3 linked regions of the Pelodiscus sinensis genome follow. The protein of the gene in region 3 purifies or fractionates together with the protein of the main gene of each other region. This does not show direct contact. Links are inferred from orthologs where the notes say so. Each region holds a gene or a part of one and is shown on either strand. Other genes may lie near its edges.

Region 1 (10,449 bases), on a different chromosome or scaffold from region 3:
ACAAAAAACCAGGAGAGTTTAAGATTTGCATAACTTTTAATATATTTTTATAAATACAGGCACAAACCATTGAAAGCCTGACATCCCATTTTAAAGTGAGATTGTGGCAAACCCCCAGTGTTGGGAGAGAGCGAATTTATAGTGGTCACACAAGAGCATTTGAGTGAGAGACACTACAGGAACCTTGTTTTTTAAGTTTTGTTAATCCATACATCTATCATGCTGTGATAACCGTTCAGGCCAGATTTCTGGTCTTGTTCCTGTTTTCATGGAGGCTGCATCCTGCTAGCATGAACAAAGAGAAAGTGCTGAAATAAAACACCACTTGCTAATTGGTTTGAATGGTCTTTTTGGGTTTGCATTGGGAAGTCACTAAGTCAAATGATACATTTAGCCCCTACCTTCTCCTTTATTGTTCTGCCAAAAGAGTTTGTTGTCTGAACATTCCCCCAATCATACAGGGCAACCAGATTTTCAAAATGAAAAGATCTGGTGATGTGTGCCATGTGTGTCACATTCAGCTAACTGCAGAGAGAAAGATCTGAGAAGTGGGGGAGGAAGGGTAAGATTGTTGGGTGGTGGTGGATGCCAGCCAGATACAGAGAACATCAAAATGGTAGGTAGACGACATAAATGGGAATCACTCATAGCAGCAAAGAAGTTATTTTACCTCTGTAATTGGCACTGGTGCAACCAGTGCACAACAATGTGTCCAGTTCTAGTGCCCAAAGCAAATTCAGAAGTGTTGGGTAAAGAAGATAGCAGCAATTGTGAGACAGTGCATGTGTCTTGCCGGAGTCTGTACAGCTGAGAGACGGGAAGGGGGAAAAGGCTAATTTGTGTCTGCAACGTAGGGCTCTGGAGCCAAATGTGGCTTAGTAGGGAACCAGATATGGCTCTTTTGTAGTTTGAGGTCAGCCCACCCTCACATCCCCCGCAGCAGGGAGCGTGCACTGGCACTCCAGTCTCATGCCCGCCCCTGCAAGATTGGACCACCAGCACCCACTTCCTGCAAATGGAGGGGACAGGCAAAAGCCCCAACCCTCCCAGACAGATCCAGTTTGTGGGGAAGAAGCCAGAGCTAGAAACAGCTCTGTGTGCTGCTTCCCTTCTCCCATCTGGGGTAACAGTAGCACAGGGATGTGCTTCCTGGAGGCTTTTCCCGCTGCTCCTATTGGCTGGAATCCGGTAAATGGGAGCAGCGGGAGGCCATGCCTGGAAGTGGTGTGAAAGCAAGTAGGTGCTCCTCCATATCCTTGAAACCAAGACTTTGCACCCTCACTTACCACCCTGCCGAGACCCCACACCGCCTTTCCTCTCACTCACTGCCCTACTGAGTTCCCGTACGCCCATCCCCTTGCCCCCTGGTGACACCTTGCAACCCTACTCCCAGCACTCACTGACAATATTCCCTCTAAGATTTTCCATCTGTGAGCGGAATGAGTTTTGTCTTGCGCCCTAATATTGAGGTCATGTGCACAAGGTGCACAGCCTCACTGTGGCCCAGCTCCAGCTGCGGCACCCAGAGCAGTCCCTCTCCCGCCACATGGCTCTGGCCACTGGAGCATTGCCCGTGTCACACTAACCTCCACTGCTGCCAGGGACTCACCCCAGCAGATCTGCTGCAGCCCGGGACTCCCGCATTCTGCCTGGGCTGTGTGATGGCTGCACCCGGGTGTGGCCATGGTGCTATTTTTAGCACCAACGCCATGGCCCAAGAGCAGCTGCACCACGGCCCCGGCAGCAGTCCTGGAACATGGGGCAGCCACCCGTCATGCAGCCCCGCCCACAGGAGCTGCTACGCCCATGGCTGTGTGGCCGCTGCTAGGGCCGGAATTGCAGCTTCGGCCGTGGTGCTATTTTTAGTACTGTGGCCCAAGCTCCAGCTCCCAGCTGCTGTGGTGGCCGCCCAGCTGTTCCTGGGTCGGGGCAGCCACCCGCCACATGGCCCCACCCCCAGGAATAGCTGGAACCACAGCTGTGTGGCTCTGCTGAGGAGGTGGGTGGGACTGAAATTTTTGGTGCGTGCCTTCGTAGGTGCACACCTTAGAAGGAACATTGCTCACTGCCCTACCAAGACCCCTGAACCCCAGCCCCCACACTCACTACCCTGCCAAGACCCTGCACCACCAGTCCCCTGTGCTGAGATCCCGCACACCCAGCTTCCTTCTACACTCTCCCTTGCTCTTGTACCTCCCCCCTCACTACAGACCCCACCACCTATCTGCTCCTGCACCTTCCCCCTTGGCTTCACACCCTACCACCAACCTGCTCCTGCACCCTCCCTTGCTGCTGCATCTCCCCCCGGCCAGACACCCTATCCACCCCTAACTTGCTTCTACACCCTCACTTGCTCCTGCACATTCCCTCCTGGCCAGACACCCTACCACCAGCCTGCTCCTGCATCCTCCCTTCCTCCTGCCCCTCCCTGGAGGGGAGGGATAGCTCAGTGGTTTGAGCATTGGCCTACTAAACCCAGGGCTGTAAGCTCAACCCTTGAGGGGGGGCTAGTTAGGGATCTGGGGCAAATCCATCCGGGATGGTACTTGGTCCTGCCATGAGGGCAGGGGACTGGACTTGATGATCTCCCAAGGTCTCTTCCAGCTCTATGAGATAGGTATATCTTCTAGTGTGGCCCTAACCAGACACCCTATTCCCAGCCTGCTCCTGCACCCTACCTCCCACTAGGGATGTTAAATATTGGTTAATTGAATATTCAAGTAATCTCATGAATTTTTATTGTTTAGTTGACTATTCTATAGTCCCTGGGAGAGGAGCTGGCAGCCTCTGTATCAGAGGCAGCAGCACAAGGTGCCAGGCAGGAGCTGGTCCACAAGGGGAGCCAGTTTATAAACCAGCTCCCCTCGTAGACTGGATGCCTGTGGCCCTGTGCTGCTGCTTTGAATACAGAGCCCATCAGTGGGGAAAGGGGTCTGAGCTCCTGGACCCGGCATGAGCCAGCACTGAGCTGGCTGCTGGCCAGCTTATTAAAAAAATTACTGACATGGGGGAGAGGGAGAGGGAAATGCATGTAGTTTATAGCAGGGGTTTCCAAACTTTTTGACATGGGGACCAGTAAATCCATTCACGGGCTTTTGGAGGACCGGTAACATGCATTTGCATATTTGCATATTCATTAAGCAAATGATGAATATTCAAATAAGTTGCTTCTGGTCCTCCCAAAGCCCCCAATGCCAGCTTTAGCAAAGCTTTTGATATGGTCACCCACAGTATTCTTGCCAGCAAGTTAAGGGAATATCGATTGGATAAATGGACTGTAAGATGGATAGAAAGCTGGCTAGACCAGGGTTTCCCAAACTTTTTACTTTAGTTGGAACCCGTTTTTTTTCAGTACTATTTTTTACAGCCCAAAAATATAAACGCATATAAAAAAAATTAAAAATGAATAAATTTTCAGTGTTTCACCCAGCTGCATCCTCCGCCCAGCATGGGCCAGGGGTTGGGAGACCCGGCACCCCATGGGCACTCTAGGTGGGTGCAGGAGCAGATTGGGGGTAGGGTATCTGGCTAGGAGGGAGGGTGCAAGGTGGGGTAGGGTTGCCAGGTGTCCAGTTTTGTACCGGACAGTCTGGTATTTGAGGGTTCTGTCTGGGAAACAAATTGAGAAAATACTGGACATATAAAATGTCCGGTATTTTCTAATTAGGTAAGTTTTATTATTATTAGGTGTATCAGTCCGTAGCTGTGAACTGCCTGGCTGGTAGATGTGCTCATGCTGTGTGTGTCTACCAGCCAGGCAGTTCGCAACCACTCGAGGGAGGATATGGGGAGGAGGAGCAAAATGGAATCCCCAGGGCTGGACTCACTAGTGTTCCGGGTCTGCATGTGCCTGGGTCAGTCCTGCTTCCTGCCAGCCGATTCGCCACCCCCCCGCTCCTCCACTTCTCCTCCCGATCTCCCCCAGCCCCCCCATCCCTGCTTCCACCGCTTGCCCACCCGCCCCGATCTCTGCGGTACAGCCCCGCTGCCCCCAACCCTGCTTCTGCAGCCCACCCACCCACCCCCACCCCGATCTCTGCCGGCCGCCCCCCCCCACGCACACTACCCTGATCTCCGCTGGACAGTCCCACTGCCCCCAACCCTGCTTCCTGGCGGCCAGTTTGCACCCCACACACACCTCCTCTCAGCCCTCCAGCCCTGCCCCCCTCCCGGCAGCCATGCTGTGGCCCAGTGTTTTTTTCCCATGGCCCGGTATCGGGTGCAGCCCATAGTTTGGGAAACACTGGTCTATAGCATTAACCTATAAGCTTTTGCTTATTGGTTAAAAGGTTAATCAGCTACACTATTACATCCCCATGTCTCACCCAGACCTCCCATCCTCACCCCCACCTCCTGCCCAGATCCTGCATCCCCATCCCTATCCCACTCACTGGCAGCCTTGTCCTCTACACTGAACACCTCATTTTTGGCCCCACCTCAAAGTCTAGGAGAGGCCACAAAATCCACTAACCCTGGAACTCCAGAAGAGAATATCTGGCCTGAGGCCTTGAACCTCAGTCTTCCCTGCCCCTCTCTTCCCCCATGGGGCTGGAGCACTGGGTGAGTAAGATGTGAGATATTTCAGTTGGGTGCCACATCAGTGAGGGTTGGGGGGTTTTGGAGGGTGGGTTTTTGTTTTAAACTTCTCACTTGTGTGGTCCCTGACTGATTTTTCTGTGGGCCAATGGCCACAGACCCAAAAAAGGTTCCCCACCCCTGCCATAAATAAAGATAAATGTTGAAACCTTTTGTGTTGGACATATTTTACTTTATATAAAATGAGGCCTGGCCAACAAAGAACCAGTTGGGGTCCAGCCTCTATCTGGCCCTAGCCCTGACCCTAGGGCAGGCCCTTTAGTCCAGCCCACATCTGGCTGCAGGAAGGGCTAGTGGCAGCCCCACTCCTGCTGTGGCATGAGGCGGGGGGGAGCCTGCCCCAGTGCTGCAGCCCAGCCCTTGCCAGGTAAAGTAATCCAGCCTCAGCTCCCATCCCCAGCACCCTGCCCTGCCTCCTGCACCTCCCACACACCCCAGCCCCCATACACCTCAACCCTGACTCCTGCAGCCTCACATTCACAATCTGCACCCCCAGCAGCAGCAGAAGTCCCCTTAAATAAAGTCTGGGAGTGCAGTGTTTCATTTATGCTGTTATTAAGCATCATGCCAGTTATCAATATTGTGTATTTTCAGTCCTGCAAATGGGCATTCTTATAGGACTCTTTGTTAACCACTAGTTCTGAACTGGGATGCAGCGTGGTGCCTTGGTTTGAGGAGGTTGCCGTCCCTGGGCGCACCCTCCAGCAGGCACAGGAAGCAGTAAGAGGCAGAAGCAACAGTCAGTGCTGGAGGCCCTGGGGGCCCAGGCAGCAGAAGGTGGCAAACAGGTGCGGGAACTGCAGAGCAGCGCTGGCCGGGCCGGAGCAGCCGTGGGCCCAAGGGGTCACCCCACCTCTGGCCTAGACCCTCGCCCCGGCTGGGCCCAAGGGAGGAGCCCCACGGAGCAGCGGGGAGGCGGAGCCCGAAACCCGCCGCGGCCCTTCGACGCCTCCGCCGCCCCCCCCCAGCCGCGCGGCTCCCGGTCTGCGGCGCGAGGGCGACCCCTGCTGCCCCCCGCGGGCACTGCGCGCCGGCCGGCCGGCTCCTCCCCGCTCAGCTGACGGCGCCGAAGCCAGGCTGCCGGCAGCCATTTCCCGAGCAGCCTCACAACAAAGGAGCCCGGGGCCACGACGGGTATCGCGCCCCGCCCCCGCCCTCTGTGGTCGCCCCGCTCCCGGCCCGGGCCCCCGCCGCTCCCCGGCCCCTCGCCCGCGGCGCCGCTGGGGCCGGGCCGGGCTGCGCTGCGCGCTGCGGCCGCGGGGAGGCGCTGGCGGGCCCGGCCCGACCTCACTTCCTGGCCAGGCCCCGGTGCGGCTGGCGGCGCGCTCCCGGCGGCTCCTTCCCCGGCCCCCCCGCCAGGCCGCGGCAGCTCGGGGCTGGATGGGCGCGCGGGCTTGAGCGGCGCTGCCTGGAGCCCGCGGCAGAGGAAGGGCGGCGGCGGCGAGCGGCGGACCCCGCCAGGCAGGGGCGCGGGCGGGGCGCGGGGGTCCCGGGGGCTCGTGCCTGCCCGCGGGCGCTGGCTGCAGGGCGGCGGCGCTTGTGTCCGCGCTGGGACGGCCTGGTGCCTCCGCCTAGCCCCGTGTGAACGGGGGCGCCCGGCCCGGCCCTGGGCGCAGGGGTGCGGGAGAGGTCGGTGCGGGGGTTACACGCCAGATCCGGGAGCGGTGGTTTGGGGCGATGGCTCCTATTGGCTGAGCCGCCCTCTCAGAGGCGTCTGCGGCCGTCGCTCTGCATAGGGCCTGAGGCTATCAGCAGGGCTGCACGGCCTCGTGGGTGCTCTTGAGGTGAAGGCAGAGGGGGTCATGCCCTGTGTCCCCCGGCTTGCTTGTGTTCATCCAGGCTCCCTCTCTGCACAGCCCTCCCCGGATCCGAAGGAAGCATGTTCCGGTTCATGAGGGATGGGGAGCCAGAGGACCCCATGTTTGCAATGTGCGTATGAAACTCCAAATATGTATTGTCTGGTGTGGGAGTGGGTCCAAGTAGATGACATTAGGGAAGACTGGGTGTCAGGACTCACAGATTGTATTTTCCACTCTCAGAGGGAAGTAGGGTCATGGTTAGGTCAAGGAGTCAAGATTGGTGGGGTACCTGGGACTTTGCTTCCTAAGGTTTCCTCTTCCTGTTGACCCCCTGCAGGGACCCTTTTGCTATTCACCGTCAGCATATGAACCGCATGCTTTCTGGAGGCTTTGCATACAGCCCCTTCCTCAGCATAACTGATGGGACCATGCCTGGGGCACGTCAGGCCAGCCGCAGGATGCAGGTAAAGGGGATGCTGAGTATAGTTGAAGAATCTGCCCTGTGACTTCCCATATGGTTAGGATGGGGCAGTTCTCTTTGCACAAAGTGGGGGAAGGAAAACTAGTCCCCTAAAACGTAGCTGTTATATTTCTTTTACTTCATATTCTTCCCTCCAATCCACTGTCTTGCAGAGCATTAGTGTCTTGGGGTGATGGAGGACAAGTGCCGTTTTGCAGAGCTTAAATTAGAGGGGGGGAGGGGGCAACTACGACCCATGGGCTGCTTCTGACTCCACTGACCCTTCAGTTCACCCCCAGGCTCCTACTATGGAATGGGTCATAACAGCCTTGCTAGAAGGAGCTAGACTAACTCCTGAGTAGGGGGGCAAGCAGGGGCAGCTAGCTCCTAATATCTCCCATTCTGTCCCCTCAACTCCCCCAACTCCTGGCAGTGTGGTCACTGTGCCACCAGCTCTAATGCTCTGGGCTGCATGGCTGTAGCTCCGGCTGAGTGGCGCAGTCAAGGTGGGGGTTGGAGCAGGGAGGGTTGGATGGGGGAAGAGGTCCTAGGGGTGGGACGTTGGGGGGTTGGATAGGGAACAGGGAGTCATGGGGGAGCAGTCAAGTGGTGTTGAGCTGGGACGAGGGAGTGGAATAGGTGATGGGCAGTCAAGGGACATGGAGTGGTGGGAGTTGGATAGGGGGCAGGAAGTCCTGGGGAGCTGGTCAAGGGGTGGAGAACTAGGGAGACTGGATAAGGAGCAGGGAGTTCTGGGGAGCTGGATGGGTGTGGGAGGTGAGCATCAGGCAGGAGTTGGGAGTTACAGCCTTTACCCTTCTCAGCCCTTCATATAATTTCCATATCTGCTGTGACCTTCAGGCCAAAAAGTGTGCCTGCCCTTGGCCAAAATTAATCTCACTAGAAGAGGTTTGAAGGTGTCGCTTCTCCCCCAGCCTATACCTTAAGTGCAGTGGAGGAGCATGCAGCAGTTTGAGAGACAGTGTTTGTTAAATCATTTGGCCACTTGGTGGACTGTTTCTTTCTATTTCCTGTGATGGGGAAGGAGTCCTGAGTATGGACAAAGGATGAGTCCCTGCTAACTTTTCTTTCTCTTTTTTGCTCCCTGCAGGCAGGAGCCATCTCACCCTTTGGAATGTTGGGAATGGTAAGGCCTCAATTTCTCTGTGCAGCTCTGGGGCCTTCCCCAAAACATAACATCCAGATTTACAGCCCCCCAACAGGTCACTTTATCCCCAAGTTCTTCAGGTGCTCCAAATAATCAGCAGTGCTGCGATGCAGCCACCTCTAGGTGAGCGTGTCGGCAAATACAATACTGGGAAGGGGGAAAGAACATGGACATCGGGGCAAACCCCGGATCATAGGAAAAGACCCTAACACGGTGTGGGCCAGTGGGTCGGAAACCTGGGCTTGACTCATAGCTTTCACTGGCCCTCTGACTTTCTGAGGTCAATTTATTTTTCTGTGCCCCCTTCAGTCTGTTTAGAGTAGAGTTTCTCTTATTAAATGGTTGCACAGAATCTTGCACAGTTGAACCCTAAGCTCAGTTGCTTCTGTGATACAACGAATAAATACACAAATGGGAAGAGCAGGCGGAACTCTGGCTGTTTAGGTATGACCCTGCAACCCACCTGCCAAGCAAGCTGCCTGGAGCTCAGAGGGGGGCAAGGCTGAGACTTGGATTCCAAGGGCAGGTAATAAATCTGAGCTGGGGACTATTAACTATTCAGGAAGAAGACCTGGATACCATTAAAGAGTCTTAATGACAACCTCTGCTTAATGGGTAATGGTTGTAAAATAAGCCAACAAAACATTAGCATGTCCAGGAATAGGACGGAAAATAATAACTGAGCTATTACAATGTCTTTCCATAAATCAGTGGGATGCCCTCACCTGGAACACTGTCTCCTTCCCCCCCCCCCCCCCCCCCCCCGGTCACCCTCTCTCCGAAAGGACATAGCAGGAATAGAGGGAGTTCAGTCATGGGTGGCAAAAGTCATTGGAAACCTAAAGATTTTCATATGAAGCGAGATTACTGTTTCTGTTAGGGAAGGAATGAATAATAGGTTACATAAAATGAGAAGTCCTGTGACACCATAGAGACTAACCAAAATATGTAGAATCATGCACTTTCATGGGCAAAACCCACTTCATCAGGTGAACTGGAGTGGAAATAACAGAAACCAAGAGATTTTACTACATGCACACATGCAGCAGAAGTATCTGTCAATTATAGGACCCATGTTAATGAAGCTAATTAAGTGTCTCATACATATACTTTGATGTGGAAATGCAGATGTTAATGGCAGGACACCATCACAGGACCTAACCACATAAGACACGACATCAGGGGCTCATACAGCTGCATCTCCTCTAATGTGATCTATGCCATCAAGTGCCAGCAATGCCCCTCTGCCATGTATATTGGCCAAACTGGACAGTGTCTGCACCAAAGGATAAATGGACACAAATCAGACCTCAGAAATGGTAACACAAACCTATAGGGGAACACTTTAACCTGCTTGGTCACTCACTCCTGGATTTAAAAGTAGCCATCTTCTACAAAGGAATTTCATTAACCAATTACAGAGAGAGTCTGCAGAACTGGAATTTATCTACAGATTTGACACCCTTGCCCTGGGCCTAAACAAAGACATTAACAAGTTTGGCAACAGGGTTTGTTGCAGGGGTGAGTGTATATGATGTGTGGCTGCTGGAAAGGATTTGCTACTGGTTGGGGAGCTGCCTGTAGGCAGGGACTGGTCTGTCTCTCAAGGCCTGTGAGAGTGAGGGATTGTTTTCCAGGATAGGTGGTAGATTATTAATGATGTGCTGGAGAGGTTTAAGCTGGGGGCTGTCGGTGATGACCAGCGGTGTTCTGTTATTTTCCTTGTTGGGCCTGTCTTGAAGTAGTTGACTTTTGGGCATTTGCCTGGCTCTGTCAATCTGTTTCCTATACAATTTACCTTTCTCCTGTTTCAAGAATTAAATTGGCCATTTAAATTGAAAGGTAGCACATCTGAAGCTGAGAAAAGACAAAGTTTTGTATATTTCATGATTCACTTGTGTAACTCATGCTCTCGGGTATCAAAAATGACTAGATGTTTGAATAGAGAATGAGAGCAGCCATAGTTATGTTAGATCAAGAAAAGCAATAGCTGAGGGAAGTCCCCCAAGAAATGGCATATAAGAGGGAGTAGCTTCCCCTCGGGACAGGCTGTTCCCTAGTTGTCCACAAGGGTTTCATTAACCTTCAGTTGTCATATCTGGTCCTGGCCACTATCAGAAACAGGATACTGGGTTGGTCTAGTGCCAAGGCACTCTTTCTGTGAGTCCAACTCAAAGCTGGGGGACTCAGACCAAGAGTGGGCTTGTGTCTCACGCCAAGATTCTGGGAGTTGCTGAGCTAGACTGAGATCTTGGGGACAAAGAGTTGATGTTAGGGTTGAGCACTGTGCAATTCTGCTACCATAGCCTGCTCTTCTGATCAGGTGAGTGGTTGGGAACCGTACTTTATTCTGCCTGGGGAGCAGCCTCCGTGTATCTTAGTGAGTGCATTCACTTGTCTCCCCTTCCCACCTGACTCCGTTCCTC
Region 2 (10,112 bases), on a different chromosome or scaffold from region 3:
GCACCCAATATGTGTGTGTGGGGGGGGGGAGTCTCTTTCTGGTTCTCAGCTGGAGAAATTTGTTTTTTGGGTCTCACTTTTTTCTGCTTCTCACTCAAGTGGAGCCCCTGACCCAAAAATGGCTCCCCATGCATGCTCTAAGGGCTGGGGAGGGGAGTTTGGCATGGGGCACTTGACCACTCTGGAGGCTGGCTGCCCTGACCCCACTCCTTTCAGGTATGCAAAGCCGTGTCCCCCCCACCTTGCCCCGGGGCCCAACATGGCTATCAGCTTCCCTGAGCACAGCCAGCCCCACCCCTGTTGTTCCGGATGCTATACAGATCCCAGCCGAGAGACTTGGGCCCTGTTGTGCTGGGTGCTGCACCAATAAAGGACAGACAGTCCCTGCCCTAAAACAATAACAGACAAAAGGTGAGAGGCCAAACAAACAGAGAAAAGTCTATAGCAGACCCTGGACTAGAACCCAGACATCCTGAACTGCAGCACTACGCAGTGGACCATTCTACCCCTGAGCAATCACATTCATGATAATATCGTATTCCTGCAGCTGAAGCAAACATAGGGCTGGGCATTGCAACTCCAGGCTTCTAGTCCCAGCCCTAGGAGGGGAGTGGGGTGGAGAGAGTTATAGCAGGGCTGGGCTGGGAATCAGGATTTCTGGGGTTTATCCCCAGATTTCCCAGTGACTAGCTGTTTGATTTTTTGGCGAGCCTCTTTTCTCCTCTATGCCTCAGCTCTTTATAAATAGAATGGGGATAACATTATTTATCACCTAAGATCACATGGAGGCATTAATTCACCTATTTCAGTAAAGCCCTGAACATAAACGCAAAACAGAATTCATCCACATTTGCCCCTCAGTGTCCCTTGCGACCACCGAGCTTAGCTTTGAAACCTGGGAGGCTGAAAAAATGTGGAGCAAGCATTGCAAACTACAGTTCCCAGAATCCCAGGCAAAACAAGCTGTCATTTAACTTCAATGACTGGTTCTCAACCCACCTTCAAGCTGTTTGTAGGCAGGAAACGACATGCTACTTTTAAAACGCAATCATTTATTTGCAAAGGGGACACGCACGTGGGCTGTTTAAACAGCACAGTATGGTAGCTTCCTCACTATAAATAGATGTTTGCCTCCTGAATGTGCAGGGTGCCTTGGCAACCCTACTAAATTTAGCAGTGTTAGTCATACCAGAAAACATAGATGTCGCTTGCTGGGAGACATGGCCTTTTGCTAGTCTCCGGGGCGGTTGCTTTAGTTAGATCCATGCTATCTAAAGAGCAGGGCATCCTCTTTTATGTCCTGAACCCCTGAATTAAGATCTGCAGGTCTTAGAACAAGACTTAAAGATTCAGTTCTGCATTTATCACCACAAACTGCTTATTGGTCCTTATTTTGCAGAATTAAAATGCACTTCACAACTATCTATAGTTTTGCAAACTCCCTAGGGATAAATCAGTGTTATTCCCCCCTCTCAGGAAAATGAGGCACAGCGCAGCAAAATGGTCACTAGCAGAGTAGAAACCAGGCATCATGATTCCCATCTGCACCCCGTGAATACTAGACTCCACTTTTTTTCCACAACTAGGGACAGAACCCAGAAGTCCTAAGTACCAGACCCCCCTGCTATAACCATTATCTCTAAAAAGGAGTGAGGTATAAGGATAGAATCCAGGAGGCCTGATTCTCAGACCTTTCCTGCTTTAACCATGAGACCACCTCTCCTTAGAGCTAGGAATAGAACCCAAGAGTCCTGGCTCCTGATTTCCAGTTCCTCCTCCCCCACATCAGCTCCTTCAAATGTTTTACAGAAAGCAGCCCAGAAGTTTGCACTGCAGCTTCTGCAGGCGCTTCCCACCATGAAACTCCTCTGTGAAACAGCTGAGATTTGTGCCCAATGAGGAAAACACCCTGCAATTATATGACATCAGGTAAACCCCCGGGGTCACACTGAGTGAAATTGCTGCAGGGAGTTGAATCCTTGCAAAGGTACTTGTGTATATGGAGCATCCCGCAAAGCATGTGCACCATGTACAAAAATCATATCCTGGGAAATACACAAGTGCACAAAAATTATGTAACCCATCCTCTTTGCTGTACATTGCTCTTACCAAAATTGTAGCATATATACCATAGCACCTAATACCCATTTTGCATACCATTCCATGCCATGTGTCACCATTTCAGGGTAGCTGCACCTGTATTCCTTATCTGTGTGGTCTCTCCAGTAGTGGCCAGTCAGGGCTCAGGCTCTTTGGGTATGTCTACACTACGCAGCTTTTAGTGACAAGGCTGCGTTGACACAGCCTTGTCACTAAAAGTGAGCATGTGTGAATGCTGTTTATTGGCATTTTTGTCAACAAAATACTTCTACTCCCAAATAGGAGGTTTTGCTTTGTCAACAGCCGAGTGCTCCTTCCGACAAAGCAACATTCACACTTTCACTTGCCACGGCAAAACTGTCTGTTCATGATGAAAGGGGTACTTAAGCGCCCCATGAATGACAAAAGTTTTGTTGATAAATTGCAAGTGTAGACATAGCTTTTGTCTACACTTCTAAAAATTAAAGCGCAGTCATGACAGCACTGTGCTTTAAACTGAAAGTGAGGCCACATCTAGAGCACTAGGAGAGCTCTATATCAGTGGTCCCCAACATTTTTACACACAAGATCACTTTTTGAATTTAAGTGCAATCCAAGATCTACCTCAAACCCAAATATCCTTGCCCCCCTTCCTTTGTGCTCCTTGCCCTGCCTCTCTCTGAGGACCTGCCCCTGCTCACTCCATCCTCCTCCCTCCCAACACTCACTTTCACCAGCTGGGGCAGCGGATTGGGGTGCAGGCTTGGTCTTGGATTAAGGGATTTGGAGTGTGAGAGGAGCTCTGAGCTGACCTTGGGGCAGGCAGTTGGGGTGCCAGAGGGAGTTCTAAATGTAGGCTCTGGGAAGGTATTTGGATGCAGAGGGGTCAGGGCTAGGGCAGGAAGGGGGTTCATGTCTTGGGTAAGGGTTCAGGCTGTGGACTCCAGCTGGGCACTGCTTACCTCAGGTGGCTCCTGGGTGATGGTGCAGTGGGGCTAAGGCAGGCTCACTCCTGCCCTGGCCCTGCACCACTCCCAGAAGCAGCCAGCAAACTTGCTCTATCCCAAGTCCTGTTGTGCCCCCTCTCTGCTCTGTGGAAATACAATACAGGATGGGAGAAGGGGGCACCTTGACATCAGCACCCTTTCTCTCCCTTCCCTGCCCTGCACAGCAAACAGGAGGCTCCTGGGAGAACAGCTCCAAGGTAAAGGGCAGGAGATGTGCAGAAGTAGGAGAAGAGGCAGCTGAAGTGCTGGCACTTGATAGCCACGTGGCCAAACCAGTCAGGATCACCTGTCAGAGGCTCCAAGATCTACCAGTAGGTCCCAATCTACTGGCTGGTGACCACTGCTCTATGTAAACCATCTCCAGGAAGGGAACAGCTAACAGTGCTGGGAGCCCATTTACACTGGCACTTTATAGTGCTATAACTTCCTGTGCTCCAGGAGGGGTGTTTTTACACACCCCTGAGCCAAAAGTTGCAGCGCAGTAAAGTGGCAATGTAGACTTAGCCCTAGAGTTTTAAGGCTGCACTGAAGAATCCTCCCCATACACTGTAATATCCCCAGCCAGCCATTCTGCCTGAAGGCTAGACCTTAGTGTTTTTATGAGTGTGACCACATAGGTCTTTCTGAGCAAAGTACATTTTAACAACCAAAAGAAAAAAGCACACAAATACAAACAGTAAAACTCCATATAGGTTTACTAAACGCGATAGACATCACCCATCAGTTTAATAGGGTGCGTCTACACTGCACCCTTACCTTAAAATGAGCTACGCAAATTGCGCAGCTTATTTTGAGGTAATTTCAAAAGAGCTTATTTCTACATAGTGCCAAATTTCAAAATAAAGCACTATTCCAAAACATCCCTTAACCTTAATCGAACCAGGGTTACAGGAACACCAGAATAGTGTACCTGTTATTTTGAAATATTTTGAAATAATGGGCTGCTTTAAAGATGCGGAATAGCTATTTGGGGATATTTCTGATATCCCAAAATAGTGCCGTAGTGAAGGCGTAGCTATAGAGTCCTAGTCAAAACCTTTCAGCAAGGATGGTTGAGGTTTCCCTAGGAGCCAAGATCCTGTCCATCTATTTAATCAAAAAGAAGACTCCCAAGACTCTCCAAACTCAGTTTTTAGATACCCAAAGTCTTTGTTTTCTAGTCTATGGATCAGTATATACATGGAAACCACCCAAGTGTTATTCTTTCTGGAGCTGGTTACAATTTCTATAGCTGTTTTTTGATCCTGGTATTAGCTGAGATACCCCACAGAACTGTGTACAATTCCTTCCTCAAAATAATAAGCTAAACTTTCATAAATGTATTACAATAGACTCTCCAAGAACACTGCATGTGGTTGCAATCAGTGTTTCCTGTAAACTGTGTGGTTGAGCAGTTCTTGATAAGAAATTCGAATGCCACCTAGTGATTAGCAGAGTGAGTTTTTTTCTACTGGTGGTACACATTTGCACATGCCTCAGCACACACAAAGTTTTATTCTGCACATGAATGGAAAACATTAAAGGGAACACTAGTCACAATAGTCAGCCACCATGACATACAAATTTCATACAGTTTGTACCAAGGGATAGTTGCTTAAATTCTAAGACTCACAATGTTTGCACTCATTTATTTACAACGAAACTCTGGCAAAGACTAAGGCTACGTCTACACTGGCCCCTTTTCCGGAAGGGGCATGTAAATTTCACTAGTCGTTGTAGGGAAATCCGCGGGGGATTTAAATATCCCCCGCGGCATTTAAATAAAAATGTCCGCCGCTTTTTTCCGGCTTTTAAAAAAGCCGGAAAAGAGCGTCTAGACTGGCCCCGATCCTCCGGAAAAAGTGCCCTTTTCCGGAGGCTCTTATTCTTACTTTGAAGTAAGAATAAGAGCCTCCGGAAAAGGGCACTTTTTCCGGAGGATCGGGGCCAGTCTAGACGCTCTTTTCCGGCTTTTTTAAAAGCCGGAAAAAAGCGGCGGACATTTTTATTTAAATCCCCCGCGGATTTCCCTACGACGACTCGTGAAATTTACATGCCCCTTCCGGAAAAGGGGCCAGTGTAGACGTAGCCTAATAGTTCCAGGCAAGTGGGACTGGAATAGCGCTGCTATATTATGGCACAGTGTTTCTCAACCAGTGGTACAAGTACCCTTAGGGGTACTTGAGAGAAGTCCGGGGAGTACATCAACACAACTGAAATTTGAAGAAAATTGAATTTTTGTTTTAAGTTTTACAGCACTTTATTCTTTTTGTACTTTTTACACCCAAAAATTGCATTGCCTGCCCAGCTACGATTAAGTTGTTTAAACAAATGTGTTGCAATAATAGAAAAAAAATTGTGAGTCTGAAAACTGTAGGTACTGGGGGGGGGGGGGTACATATAATTTTTCTTAAGGAGTACCATATTAAAAAAGGTTGAGAAACACTGTTGCAGCATGCACGTGCTCCCCAGTAAGTACAGGCACACAAAAGATGAGGCAGGTACAGGGTGCAAAAAAAAACAAGAGAAAAATACACATGGATTGGGCGAAGGAGTAGGACCACAACCACAGAGCCTGCTCCCCTCCCTGGGGCGTGCAAGCTACATGCAAACAACCTTCTCCAGCAGAGTGTGTACAACGCACGCGTGAAAACCCAACCGTATTAGGGGCCACGGAAAGCACATGCAAATGTGTTTCTCTTACACGCATGCGCAGACACCGCCTCTCGGGAACTCCAGCTCAGCCCCCACCAAGCAGAACGTCCCTCCTTTAAACTCTTGGAGTCGCCCAATAAGGAAGCGATGATGACGTAGACCCGCTCCGCTCAATCAGGACATAGCGCCTCGCATGTCGTCACCTTGTTCCTCAGAACCAATGAAACGAATGGAAAATTCCAGAAATGTCTCTAACCAATGGACACGGCCGTTAGAATCACGAGGGGTCTCCAGGCCAATGGATTTTGAAGATTGCTGAGAGTATTAGAGATGCTAGCCAATCACATGGGCAGGGCGGGGGGCGTGGTCCTAGGTTGAGATCCAATCACAGTGAGGGCGGGTAGAAGGAAGGCTCTTCGCGGGGCGTATTGATTGGCATACCTCCAGACTTATGAGACGCGGGGTAGGCGGGGCTAGTTGCGAATTGACATCTATGTTCTCGTATCCCTATGCGAATCTCAATAATCCCGCCCTGTTGGCGCTACCGAGGCGGAGAATAGGTAAGGCCCGGCCTGTGAGCGACACCCTTTCTAATCTATGGTGGCACTGAGGGGGCGGGACCCGGACGCGTACCAACCAATGGGGCGGCGAGGGCGATACAGGAGGCTTCTAGCAGGTTCCAGAAGGCGGCGTGAGACGGGGTAGGCCGGCTCGGAGGAGACTTAACCGGCAGCGTCCCGCAAAACTGGGCCCCGAGCCGGAGCCATGGAGAAGGTGAAGGGCCGGGCCTGCCAAGGAGCGAGCTGGGCTGTGTGCTGGCGGGCGGGGTAGCTGCAGCCTGGGGCAGGAGGTGACAGCTACGAGGGACGGCGCCTGGGGAGGGAGTTGGGGGGCAGGAGCGCGGGGTGGGGTGAAGCCAGGCAGGGGAGGGCCCGGGGTAGGCGACTTTGCCTCGAAGAGGTGCAAAGGTCTGGAGGGAGCGTGCTGCCAGATGCGTTTTAGCCCCCTCGTGTAGACGGGGCGAAGCTGTGTGTTAACCCGCGCTGGTTGGGCAGGGACACCCCCCCTTTCCGCCTATCGCTTCTCTTTACCTTGATTGCATGAGAGTGCCCGAATGAGCGACGTGAACGTGCCTACTGAAGTGACCACTCGGGAGAGGGCGGCTGGGCTCTGAGGCTACTGCAGAGCCGTCTGGGGCAGTGGAGCAGGTGTGAGACGAGGTAGCCGAGAGTCCTAGAAGTTGGTGGTAGCAGGGTTTCTGGGAAGCAGGCATGCGGGAGGAAATAGAGTGGTTTGGGCAGGAGGTTTCCTCGGAGCTAAAAAGGGGAGCACGAAGAGATGGACTGGCTAGTAAAGTAGGTAGCACAGGGAATCTGCATTGAATGTGAACAAAATGTATAAGATTGATTGTGTGTGTGTGTGAGAGAGAGGTTCAGTGTGCTGTCTGGAGATATGTAGCTGGGATGTAAGTACCATCTTCTCATTTTCTGCCTCACTTTTGCATGTGCATGCAGAAGTCTCCCTTGCCTCATCCCCCTGCAATAGAAGGCATGCCCAGGAAGGAGTAACTGTTCATGCTGAGTAGCTGTTGAGGTCTCCAAGCAACTATGAACTATGTATTGCATTCTAATGCTGGAGATGGCGGCTGTAGACAGACAGCTGACCTGCTGCTTAAACAAAGCCTATTAAGGTGCAGTAAGGAGACCCTGGAGTATTCTCAATCGAGGAAGCATTTGGAGCAGATGTACAGGTGGCATAATACAAAAAATTGTCACCAGAATCTCCCTTCTGCTTGTCCCATTTGAAGAGGGCCTGTCGCTTTGGTATGGGTAAAGGCTGCTCAGCTGACTTTGCTTCTTGAAGCATAGCAGATCACTGACTTGAGGAAGCTGCTTTATCTTGGAGTAAAGCAGTTTTGTTAACTTCACGTCTTAGTTTAAAATGTACGTTGCTATGGAACTAATGTAATTGAGGTGCTTATCCTTGCTAGAGCCTAGGTATACTATGGGTGACGGCAATGTGAGTCTCCTACACAAGCACAGCATTGCCAGTGCCCTAAAGTCCTGACCTACAAGATCCCAACTAGGGATGTTAAAATGGGTGTAATAAAGTAACTGTGTAAAATTTTCAGCAGTTACACGCTGAGTGGCAGCCAGCTCCTCAGGAGCTACTGTGTGCAGAGTCAGCTCTCCATATGTACTGGCTCCTGCCTGCACCCCACGCTGCTGCCTCTGTATCAGAATACCTGTTCATCATTGCACACAGGCAAACAAAGTTTGCACATTACACTTTCATATCCTGTGTTTGTCAATGCTCCTCAGTCCTGACATGCAGCTTCCTACTGTCCAAGTACTAAATTCCACCCCTCACAGCTTTGCTGTTGCCTGTCAATCCCAACTTCCTCCCCGCTTCACAAAAGGAATTCCTCCTGCCTCCACCCCTGCAGGCATAACTCCTGATTTATCTCTGCAAGTCTTCATTTCTGTCTTGCTTTCTGGCTTGAGCAAAAATGCCCAGGTATTGCAGTATTATATATTCCATACAAATGTTGGCTAGGAACTGGAATGAAGCTCATCAAAATTATCTCTACTTATATGGCTTGTGTCAGAGTGTAAATCCAGTTCTAAAATGGGCGGGGAGAAAAGTTCTTAGTTTGTATCATCATCTCTGAGCTGTTGAGCCCTGGCACTCACTAATTTTCCGGCTAAACAGTAAATGGTCAGGCTTACTGGTTAACAGGCCCTTGCCATCTCTGGAGTTAACTTGCCAGCTGTACCTGGAGAGGCCAGCTAGCAAAGTGGCAGTATCCCAGAACCAATGTGGGACTTAGGTTGAAACAGTTTTAACTGGTTAATCATTTTAACATCCCTGTTGAAAATTAAAATAGAATGTAAAGTGTGGTGGTATTTTTTAAAATTTGATTATTCATGCTTCTGCCCCAAATAGTAAGGCTCTTACGTTGTCAGCTAATTTGGGAGCTTCAGGGGGTAGCTGAGTTAGTCTGTTACAGGGGAAAAAAAAACCAGTAAGCAAATGGTCTGGTAGCACTTTATAGGGTGATCCTTCAAAAGTTTTTAGAGGTAGTAATTATTTTGCTATTCATGGCATATAATTTAAAGATCTATTATTGCTCAGGCCCCATCAGTACTGAAAAAGGAGTTGCATTGTAATAGTTTTAGGGAGCCATCTTAACACTCCCTGTAGAAGGGAGACTTTTGATGTAACTGGGACAAGCTTCTGTTTGTACTGGCAGAGTTCAGGTTATAAAGTACTTGGAGAGTGGAAGTAATAGGCTGAGAAAAATGCAAATTTTGTATGCAGACTTCCTAGGGAGCTCATTAGAGTTCCTACCTGATGTGCTGTTGAAGTGACTCATCAATGATTGCCTTCCCTTGGCGGAGACATCTCACTAGCAGTTGCTGGGTTTTTGTGATGTACTGCATCCCCATCAGTTCACACTTGCAGGGAAGTCACATCTGCAGACTTTACCTGCCTGGTGACTTCTGGGTCTTTGGAGTATTTGAGCTGGGTGGTTAAATCACAGCTAGATTTCCTTTGACTCCGGATGGACCGAATGGCCCAAGCTGCATCATCTTAGAAGCAGATGACATTTTTTGGCCTTTGTTTATGAAACTAGCTGAATCAGTCATGTTGGAGAATTCCACCCAAGCGGGGTCCTGAAAGGGGAGAATTAGCTGTCTGGGTGAGAATTGAGAGGGATAGACTTGCTGTCTGTGATTTGGGGTGTTCACAGACCTCTTATTGAGGAATCTGGAGTCCTTTGGTATTGCACAACTTCCATGTAACAGCTATGTCAGTATCCAAGTTCTTATTGAATTTCTGCTGTCAAGATGCATATCTTGCTCTTATATTAATGTTTCTGGGACTGTTAAAGGAGGCATTGTCTCCCATCAAGTAAGTATTGAATAAGTGGTTTCTAGTGAAAAATTATTCTTCCTATCCCAAGTGCTGTTAGCAGTAAGACTCTAAGCAGCTGCTGCTTGAGCAGGACTCGAGACATTAACAAGGAGCACTCTTTAAAGTCACTTTCCTGCAAGTGATGCAGTGAGTTGGGAAAGATAATTCCAAGGCAAGAGGATTCCTTTGACACTTCCACCCATAGCTGATCATGCTAATCCATTGCTCACTCTTGCCCTTTCTCTGATAGGTGAACGAGTTGAAGGAGAAAGGCAACAAAGCCTTGAGTGCAGGCAACATTGCAGAAGCCATCAAGTACTATTCAGAAGCAATAAAACTAGATTCCAAGAACCATGTGCTCTATAGCAACAGATCTGCAGCTTACGCCAAGAAAGGGGAGTACCAGAAAGCGCTGGATGATGCCTGTAAAACTGTTGAGCTGAAGCCAGAGTGGGGCAAGGTAAGGGTCCTTCT
Region 3 (9,322 bases):
AAAGAGGGACCAATCTCTCCTGCCTCCATGAATAGTTTTGGGGCTCAGTTTCCACTGGGCTAGGAAATGATTCACTAGGTTTTTTCTATCTCATAAGCCCCCCTTTCCACACACACACTGGCTACGTCTACACTGGCATGATTTTCCGGGAAAAGTTTTCCGTTAAAAGCATTTTCGGAAAAGCACGTCTAGATTGGCAGGATGCTTTTCCGTAAAAGCACTTTTTGCGGAAAAGCGTCCGTGGCCAATCAAGACGCGGTTTTCCACAAAAAAGCCCCGATCGCCATTTTCGTGATCGGGGCTTTTTTGCGGACAACAATACTATGCTGACTACACTGGCCCTTTTGCACAAAAGTCTTTCGGAAAAAGACTTTTGCCCGAACAGGAGCAGCATAGCATTTCCGGAAAAGCACTGACGATCTTACAGAAGATCGTCAGTGCTTTTCCGGAAATTCAAATGGCTAGTGTAGACAGCTGGCAAGACAGATGATTTTGCGGAAAAACTTGCCAGTCTAGACACAGCCACTGTGATCCACGCTGGGGAGCACTGATGGCATATCCTGCATTCCCCCTATTCTACACCCCCCCCCCCCTTCTGTGCAAATGCATGCTCCTTGAGATTTCGGCTCAGGAACAAACCAACGAAGGTGCTGGAAGTAGGGGGGTTGCAATCGCTGCAAGGCAGGGGAGTGGGGCAGCACAGGGCTAGACTGGTCCAGGCCCTGATCCTCACTGCAGCCTGGGCATGCTAATGAGCCCAGCTGTCAGGCTGGACTCCCAGAGGCAGCTGGCTCTTGTGTGGAGCCTCTAAGCATCTATGTATCATGTATCTCCCTCTTTGCCCCCATCCAGATGGCACAGTAAATCTCTGAGGAGGGAGGCCTCTACCTACCTTCTCAGGACAGCTGTCTGTCTCTGCTTTCCTCTTCCGAAAACTGCAGGCTTAACTGACTCACATCCCGACCAATGAAGGGGCAATCAGGGAGACAGCAAGAGGGAGCAAAGGAGAGGAGAGAGAGCCTGCTAACCACAGGACAGCACCACCTAGAGCTGCAGAAAACAGGCTGTGCAATGCTTGCTTTTTCAGGAGAGGCCGACCAGGCTGGCTCAGTACCCTGCAAAAAACACACCAGAGCTGCAAAAACAACGAGGAGTCCTGTGGCACGTTAGAGACAAACAGATGTATTAGGGCATAAACTTTTGTGGGTTAAAAGCACTTCATCAGATGAGTTGAAGTGGAGTTTACAGAGGCGGGGATGTGTGTGTGTATATATATATATATATATATATATATACACACACATGGATAACAAAAAGAAAGGATAAACTTAAAAAACAACAAATAGTCTGGTAGCACTTTAAAGACTAACAAAACATGTAGATGTATCATGAGCTCTTGTGGGCTCAACCCACTTCTTCAGCAGTCATCTGAAGAAGTGGGCTGTGTCTATGAAAGTTCATGATACATCTATGTTTTGTTAGTCTTTAAAGTGCTACCAGACCATTTGTTGATTTTTAAGTTTATCCTGTATAGACTAACTCAGCTACCCCTCTGAAGCAAAAGAAAAAGGGTCAATCATCTAATGAAGTGGGTTCTACTGACGAAAGCATATGCCCTAATCAACTTGTTAGTCTCTAAGGTGCCACAGGAATCCTCATTTTTTAAGATACTGACTAACAGGGCCACCAGTCTGAGACTTTAAACCAAACCTGTTATCTAACTCCAGATTCACACCAATGGCTCATCCGTGGCCCCATGTTCTTTGTAACTTCACAGGGAGGAGACCCTGCAAATTGTTTTGTTCGCATTGAAGATGCAACTGCCCAGCCGAGCTGTAGGAAAGAGATGTTTCTTCTGTGCTTATCTGGTGGCTTCCTGACCCCCAGCTGGGAGGCCAGAAGCCCTCATGTTCCACTCAAGTGGGGCTCTCCTGAAACCTGTCCCCTTCCTCCAGTCCTCCCACGCCCTGGTGCAAATATGACACACACACACAAAAAGGAAATTTAAGGCAACTAATTGCCACTAGAATCACACCTATTTTAAAGCAAAGTGTGCTGGAACAATTTTTATAGTGGGGGTGTTGAGAGCCATTGAACCAAACTGTAAACCAGGGGTCTCAAACTCATTTTACCTTGGAGCCAGTGCCAGTCCTCAAATCCACCTAGTGGGTCAGCAGGCACCCCTCTCTAGCAGGGTTCGGGGGGGAGTCTCCACACATTCACACCCCCCACGTGTCTCCCGGTCCCAGCTGCTAGTCTATGCACTCTTCTCCCATGCATCCCCCGGCACTGTCTGCCATCTCTGGGCAACTTAACCCTCCCCCCCCCCACAGGGGTTCCGGTGCCGCTACCAGTAGCACGGCAAGGCTAGAGCAGCTCCTCGCTGCTAGCGCTGCATCCCTGTGGCCCAGGAGAGATGTGTGCAGAGCCATCCCATCCATAGAACGATTTGATGCGGCCACCCCGGGCCCTGTGCATTGGGGGGAGCGGGGCCCACAGCAGCCACCCCAATCGTCCTATGGACAGAATGGTCCCCCATACTTAGTGATAGAAATGTAGCTGTGTTAGTCTGGTGTAGCTGAAACAAAATACAGGACTATGCAGCACTTTAAAGACTAACAAGATGGTTTATTAGATGATGAGCTTTCGTGGGCCAGACCCACTTCCTCAGATCAAATAGTGGAAGAAAATCATCACAACCATATATACCAGTGTTCATTTTTTTTAATTGTATCCTTTGGTATATATGGTTGTGACGATTTTCTTCCACTATTTGATCTGAGGAAGTGGGTCTGGCCCACGAAAGCTCATCATCTAATAAACCATCTTGTTAGTCTTTAAAGTGCTACATAGTCCTGTATTTTGTTCCCCATACTTAGGTTAGCCTGTGGGGCCTGGGGCAAGCTGGGGCTAGCAGAAGGGTTCAGGCTCCCCCTTTCCCCTCCCCCCACTCGCCACAGCAGGGAGAGCTGCAAGGAAGTGGAGCTACATAGCATGTCTGAAAATATGGAGGGAAAGTTCCCCCCACTCCCACCAGCCTGATCTTCTTTTCTTTGAGATTCCAGATGGTTATGAAGCTAGCTAAGCTTTCCGGCTGCAAATATCCTGAAATCCAGAGTGACGGTTTAACCCCCACCGAGCGTTAAGAATATTTGAGATGACCTTAGCTCAGATCTGGCCATTGGTGTGAGAGAAAGCAAGAAATGGCTTTTAAAAGGCAACATTATGATGATTAATGTTTTTTAATTATACATCAAGCACCTGGAGAAGCTTCAGGCAACCGCTAAAGCAAGTGAAGACACATCTCCTGGCCTAGAGAGTGCACAACCTACATGCAATCCAACACAATCCTGCAAGGAGACCCGCATGGGCTGATCCCTTCTCCTGCATGGATCCCCACTGGAGTTAATGAGACTCTGTGGGGCAGCAGGAGTCCACCTGCACAGGTCTCTTTTGCCGAAGGTCCTAAGTAGGAAATACCACAGACTCAACCTATTTACCATTGTAGGCTGCATGTGCAACTCTCTCCGTGTTATGTGGGTTGCAACTGCATAATAGATATATTACTTGTACAGCCCAGGGGGATGTCACGTGGGCCGTAGTTATGTGCTGATTGGGTTGTGGGTTGAGAACCACTGGCCTAAGGCATAGGCACAGCTAAATGTTTAGGAAGCCAATTATTTTTACATGACTATTATCTGTTGATGTGGTTACGGTGACCGTTGGGTGCCATGTGACAGGGGTTTAGCAGAAAGATGCCTTAGCATGGCAGTTCACTATTTACAACCACATTCTCATAGCCATTTATTATCACCTGTGTGACAATCATACCTAGGCGGGCTCTTTGGGGGATCAGGATGCATTGTGCCGGGTGCTGAACAAACCCCAAGAGCTCATCATGCTGCATTGCCGGGGGGCCCTCATGGCCACTGTCACTTCGCACCCATCGTCGCTCCATGTTGTGCCAATCTCAGGTGCCCTCTATAAGTCACCATCATGGCTCCCTTGCTGCCTCCCAAGCAGGGTCCCCCCCCCCAGCACCTCCCCTCAGGCTGGCCAAGTTTGGGCTCATCCGAGCTGGGCAAGGTGCCTCCCATCACCCCAGGCTGGTCAGTGCTCCCCCCATCCCCCAAGCTGGCCGGGGGGGGCCCATTCCCATCCCCCAAGCTGGTCCAGGGGGCCCCCATTCCCATCCCCCAAGCTGGTCCCCATTCCCATCCCCCAAGCTGGTCCAGGGGGCCCCCATTCCCATCCCCCAAGCTGGTCCAGGGGGCCCCCATTCCCATCCCCCAAGCTGGTCCCCATTCCCATCCCCCAAGCTGGCCAGGGGGCCCCCATTCCCATCCCCCAAGCTGGTCCAGGGGGCCCCCATTCCCATCCCCCAAGCTGGTCCAGGGGGCCCTCATTCCCATCCCCCAAGCGGGCCAGGTCTCCCCGCCCCACGTATTTCTACCCCCTCCCCCGGGCTCCCCCTCACCCTCGGGCTGGCCAGGGTCCGGGTCCCCCATCCCCCAAGCTGGCCAGGCCAACCCCCCGTTCCAGCCTCCCAAGTTGGCCAAGGCTCCCCCCTGGGAGATTGGCCCTTCTGGCCCCTCAAGCGCCCTCTCGGTGGCCCCTCCCGCGGCGGGCCCCTCTTGACGGACCGCGCCGGCCTCTCTTTGCTCCCGGAAGTCGGTGTCGCTTCCGCTTCCCCCCCTCCCCCCGCCGCCGCCTCTCTTTCCCCCTCCCCAGGCTGCCGGCCCGGCTGTAAGATGGCGGCGGCGGCCGAGTGCGATGTGATCATGGCGGCGGCCGAGGGAGCCGGGCTGCTGGGCGGCGAGGAGGAGACTCGCAGGTAGCGGGGCGCCGGGGGGGGGGCTCAGGAGAGAGCCGGGGGAGGGACTGAAGGGGGGGTCGGGGCCCCTTGGGGTGGGGGAGGGGAGTGGGGCCCGGTGGGGGGGGGTTCTCAGCCCCAGCCCCCCCCCCCTCGCGGCCCTGTGACCCTCCCAGCTCCGGGGTGTCTCAGGGCCCCGGCCCCCTCCCGCACTATGGGGGGGGGGAGGGGGGAGCGCAGCACCAGCCCGCCCCCGCCCCGCTGGCCCCCGAGGTTATCAACCCTCCCTCCGCCTCTTCCTTCTGTTGAAATCCGCCCCCTCGGGCGGGGTGATGGGGGGGTGCCCCTGTGACACCCCCCCCCCACAAGGATGCTCTGTGCAGATGCCGCTCACCCCGGTGATCGTTCAGGAACCCCCCTTTCAAGCTGAGTGGGTGGGGGGTCGGGGGTGAACCTACCAGCTAAAGATGCATTTCTCCCCCCCACCCCGCCATAGCCCGAATGGTTTTTATACCTTGCCATGTCTATAACCCCCTGGGCCTACTGGGGGTTTTATAACGGGTAACTCCCAAGGAATGCCGTCTGGGCATTTCTAGTGCACCCAGCCCTGGCGGCAGTGTCCAGGCTGTAAATCCCTGCACCATAGAGATTACGGTATAATGAACAAGGATGGATGGTTGATCAGTAACCGGGGAGAAGGTTATGGTGGGCTGTTTCACTGGACCAATCTGAAGGCAGATGGCAGCAGATACATGCTTAATACTTACTGTCCTGACTCTGCAGAATTGATTTCAGCCCTGAAGAACAGGGGGGGTTCACAGTGGAGTCAGGGAAGTTCAACAATTCAGTTCCCTTCTGCCCTTTAATAAGTATGCTTGGGCTTGTTTAGTTTGGAAAAAAGAAGATTAAGGGGGGACATGATAGCGGTTTTCAAATATCTAAAAGGGTGTCACAAGGAGGAAGGAGAAAATTTGTTCCTCTTGGTTTCTGAGGACAGGACAAGGAGTAATGGGCTTAAAGTGCAGCAGGGGAGGTTTAGATTGGACATTAGGAAAAAATTCCTAACTGTCAGGGTGGTCAAATATTGGAATAAATTGCCAAGGGAGGTGGTGGAATCTCCCTCTCTGGAGATATTTAAGAACAGGTTAGATAGACATCTGTCAGGGATGGTGTAGATGGAGCTTGGTCCTGCCTTGAGGGCGTGGGGCTGGACTCGATGACCTCTCGAGGTCCCTTCCAGTCCTATTATTCTATGATTCTATGCCAGATTTGGGGAGCATGGCCAACAGCCCCCAGCATGTGATGCTTTGTTTCAGGGTGGTTTGGCTTGTATGTCAGATGCTAAGCTCTGGCCTTTGCCAGACATGCCTCTGTGTTAAAGGCAGGGGTGATTCCAGTTGTGGTCTATTATACAGAAAAGGTGCAGTGGTCTTTTGGCCAAATCTTGTGCCATATAGAAACCCCAGCCTACTGTATAGTGCCCGTGATGGGTGCTATACAAAACACTGATAGGCAGTAATTCTGGGTTTCCGAGAGTTTTGTGTCCTTCTCTCAGGACAGGACTGCTCTGGGGATAGCATGCTCCCGTCTTTATCATTTCTGCCCAGAGGCAGTATCGATTAGCACTGCCATTTTCAAACTGGGGGTCAGGACCCCAAAGTGCTGACTTAGACTGGTTGAGGCCAAAGCAGAAGCTTAAGACCCATTGCCCTGGGGCCAAAGTCCGAGGGTTTCAGCTTTAGGTAGTGGGACTCAGTTTACAGGCCCTCTGCATGGGACTAAAGGCCTTGGGGTTCAGTTTTGGCCTTCCCCATGGGGCAGTGGAGCTTTGTCTCCCTCCTCCCCCAGACCATGGGGCTCAAGCTTCAGTCCCCCTCCTGGGGTTGCATAGTAACTTTTGTTGTCAGAAGGGGGTCACGGTTGTGAAGTTGGAGAATCCCAAGACTAGGGTTAAACTCTGTATGTGGTGTGGAGGGGGAATCCTCATGGCTCAAACCCCTTGAAGGTGGTTCAGATCCTTTTCCCTTCTCTAACTCCATTGCCTGAGGACTTCACAGTTACAATTGCACCTACCTGTACAGAACAGTTACTGTTGGAGATGTCTGATAGCGTGGAGCAAGTTACACTCAGAGTCCTGCTCTCAGATACCTGTCCTGTGTCAAAATGTTCTCTGGGTATGGTGGTTCTCCAAAGTACACTATGTTTTGAAGGCAGGGTTAGTAATTGTTGAAAGACCAAATCAGCTTCGTGCCTAAAGCTAGTTGGGAAATATTGCCCTGTGGTGCAGATACCGTCTGAGGTGTGGTGTGGTGAGAATCCCAGCCCTTTCCTCTGGTAATGAATTCTCTTTACAAGAGCAAGTGCTTTTATCTCCACCTGCTGCTGTGCTGTTGCAGTCACAGCAGGGGATGAAATTTAAAGATCAGCCTTTAAGAAACACCGTGCTAAGTTCAAGTGTTTAAAACAGGCAGGTGAATCTCAGCAGCCGGATGTCTCCGGGGGGGAATACCACCCCATATAGGATGTGGCAGAGCCTGTCATTCTAGAGAGGGGTTCACCTCACTGATGCAGGAAGGCAAAATGAAACTGAAAGGTACCTTGGAGTAGTTCCAGTTTCAAAAGGGCGGCCTGTGATATGTGTACTGCTGCTGCTTAGCTCTCAAAGGGTGAGGCCAAGGCAGTGGCATCGGAAGTATTTGTAACACCTTGAGGGTGTTAATTACATATATAAATCACGTTGTAGAAAAGGCACTTCAATGCTACATAAAGGATCCAAGTGTCACAGAGTTACAGAAATTCTTAGTACTGGGAAAGCCCTACAAAGTTTCATGTAATCCACAGCCTTCCTGTGGCTAATGTAAGGTTGTTCCTTAAAGTATTCTCTCCAGGGCTTTGTTCGCTTTAAAATGACTACTTTAAATATTAAAAGTATCAACATTTAAAAACCATGAACTGGGCTTAGTCTTCCTACTACAGAGATCTCTTGGCACCAACCTTCTCCTCTCTACCTGTGTGCAGAAGGCACCTACAGGAAATGAAATAGTCATGAATAAAATGATCCCCATTGAAAGGACTCAGGAGTCCCAGAAACAGAAAAACTCTGACATCCTTAGTAGGAGAGTTGGTTCCTGGCCCACTCCACATAGAACCTTGGGAATGGAGAGCAAAAGCAACATAGTTCACTCAGATATCTTGATGGGATAGGGACAGTACCTCAGTCCTGGGTCATTACAGTTTATGGCTTTATTTTTCCCTTTGGGGTGATCCTTTCTTTTAATTTGATTGAGGGATGGAAGGGCAGCACTTGTGATCAAGAACTTCCTGGTTAATCTTCTGTTTGCCATGAAGCTCCTTTCTGGGTTCGAGCAAGTTCTTTGGCCTAGTTTACCCACTTGTAAAATACAGATTCTGCTCAGCTGCCTCACAGAGAATTATTTGAAGACTTAGCAGATCTCTGTAAAGCCTGTTGTACCATGCAAAGTGCTGTAATAACATAAGAATGGCCATGCTGGGTCAAACCAAAGGTACATCTGGCCCAGTCTTCTGTCTTCCAACAGCAGCCAATGCCAGGTGCCCCAGAGGGAATGGACAAGAACTGGTAATCACCAAGTGATCTATCCTGTTGCCCATTCTCGGCTTCTGACAAACAGAGGTTAGAGACGCCATCCCTGTCCATTCTGGTTCATAGCCATTGATGGACCTATTCTTCATGAGTTTATCTAGTTCTTTTTTAATTCTTTGCCTTCACAACATCCTCTGGCAAAGAGTTCCACAGGCTGGCTGTGCGTTGTAAAGGCTAAGCATTGTTGGACTTAGACTAGCCCTCAGAACCTGAGGTTTTCACTACAGCTTTTGTAGAGTATGTGGGTAAATTTCCTATTTAGAAAAACCCACCCGGCAACCTGTGTGAATTATTTGGACAATGACATTGTGGTTTTAGACTAACCTTGCCAAGTGTATGAACATGATCCCTGATGCCTGCTTCTGCTCACCCAAGGCGGAGGGAAAAAAAAAAAGACGTTAGCAAAGCAGTGATTTGTATTTCAGCTTAATTGGTCTGCCATTGTACTGAAACAACTGCAGATAAACTGAATGTGTCAGTTGCAGGTTGTTTAAGAGACTTATCAGTGGCAGGAATGGAATATGGTCACAGGATAATGGTTGCCTCTGCTGCATAAATTCCAGAGATACTTAATGGAAAATGATTGATGTAAGTGCACTAATTTTATCTGATGGTACAGTTAGTGACAGTTATTGTTGAACAGCTGCATTCTGATTGGCTAAAATTCTGTGTTCTGATCCAATCACAGATCAGCATATCCATACAAGTAGAGCTTTTTAAAAAAATATTTCTAGACCAAGGAAACCGTTTTCTTGTGGCTCAGTTGATTTATAAAGCTTCATTTCACTTGATTTTTTTTATCAGCTAAATAGTTTCTCAGTCATCTGCTTGGCAGCTCGAGCCTATCTGTTGTGCATATATCTGTGGGGGAATGTTCCCCTCATTCT

The links.
Region 1: the proteins of DNAJC7 (region 3) and MLF2 purify together in Homo sapiens (affinity purification with mass spectrometry; 3 studies listed by BioGRID and IntAct, with this or other methods). This does not show direct contact. The link is inferred for Pelodiscus sinensis from reciprocal best matches to the Homo sapiens genes DNAJC7 and MLF2.
Region 2: the proteins of DNAJC7 (region 3) and STIP1 purify together in Homo sapiens (affinity purification with mass spectrometry; 4 studies listed by BioGRID and IntAct, with this or other methods). This does not show direct contact. The link is inferred for Pelodiscus sinensis from reciprocal best matches to the Homo sapiens genes DNAJC7 and STIP1.

Annotation. Positions count from the first base shown.
Region 1 is NC_134711.1:138,444,875-138,455,323, forward strand, and holds the start of MLF2 (myeloid leukemia factor 2), read left to right. Parts: upstream 1-5,655; 5' UTR 5,656-5,730; intron 5,731-5,770; exon of another isoform or gene 5,771-6,057; intron 6,058-6,066; exon of another isoform or gene 6,067-6,452; 5' UTR 6,453-6,475; coding exon 6,476-6,525; intron 6,526-6,732; coding exon 6,733-6,859; intron 6,860-7,966; coding exon 7,967-8,002; intron 8,003-10,449.
Region 2 is NC_134721.1:33,440,499-33,450,610, reverse strand, and holds the start of STIP1 (stress-induced-phosphoprotein 1), read left to right. Parts: upstream 1-6,338; 5' UTR 6,339-6,485; coding exon 6,486-6,494; intron 6,495-9,888; coding exon 9,889-10,098; intron 10,099-10,112. UniProt on the Homo sapiens protein: Acts as a co-chaperone for HSP90AA1. Mediates the association of the molecular chaperones HSPA8/HSC70 and HSP90.
Region 3 is NC_134739.1:9,682,790-9,692,111, forward strand, and holds the start of DNAJC7 (dnaJ homolog subfamily C member 7), read left to right. Parts: upstream 1-4,680; 5' UTR 4,681-4,751; coding exon 4,752-4,834; intron 4,835-9,322. UniProt on the Homo sapiens protein: Acts as a co-chaperone regulating the molecular chaperones HSP70 and HSP90 in folding of steroid receptors, such as the glucocorticoid receptor and the progesterone receptor.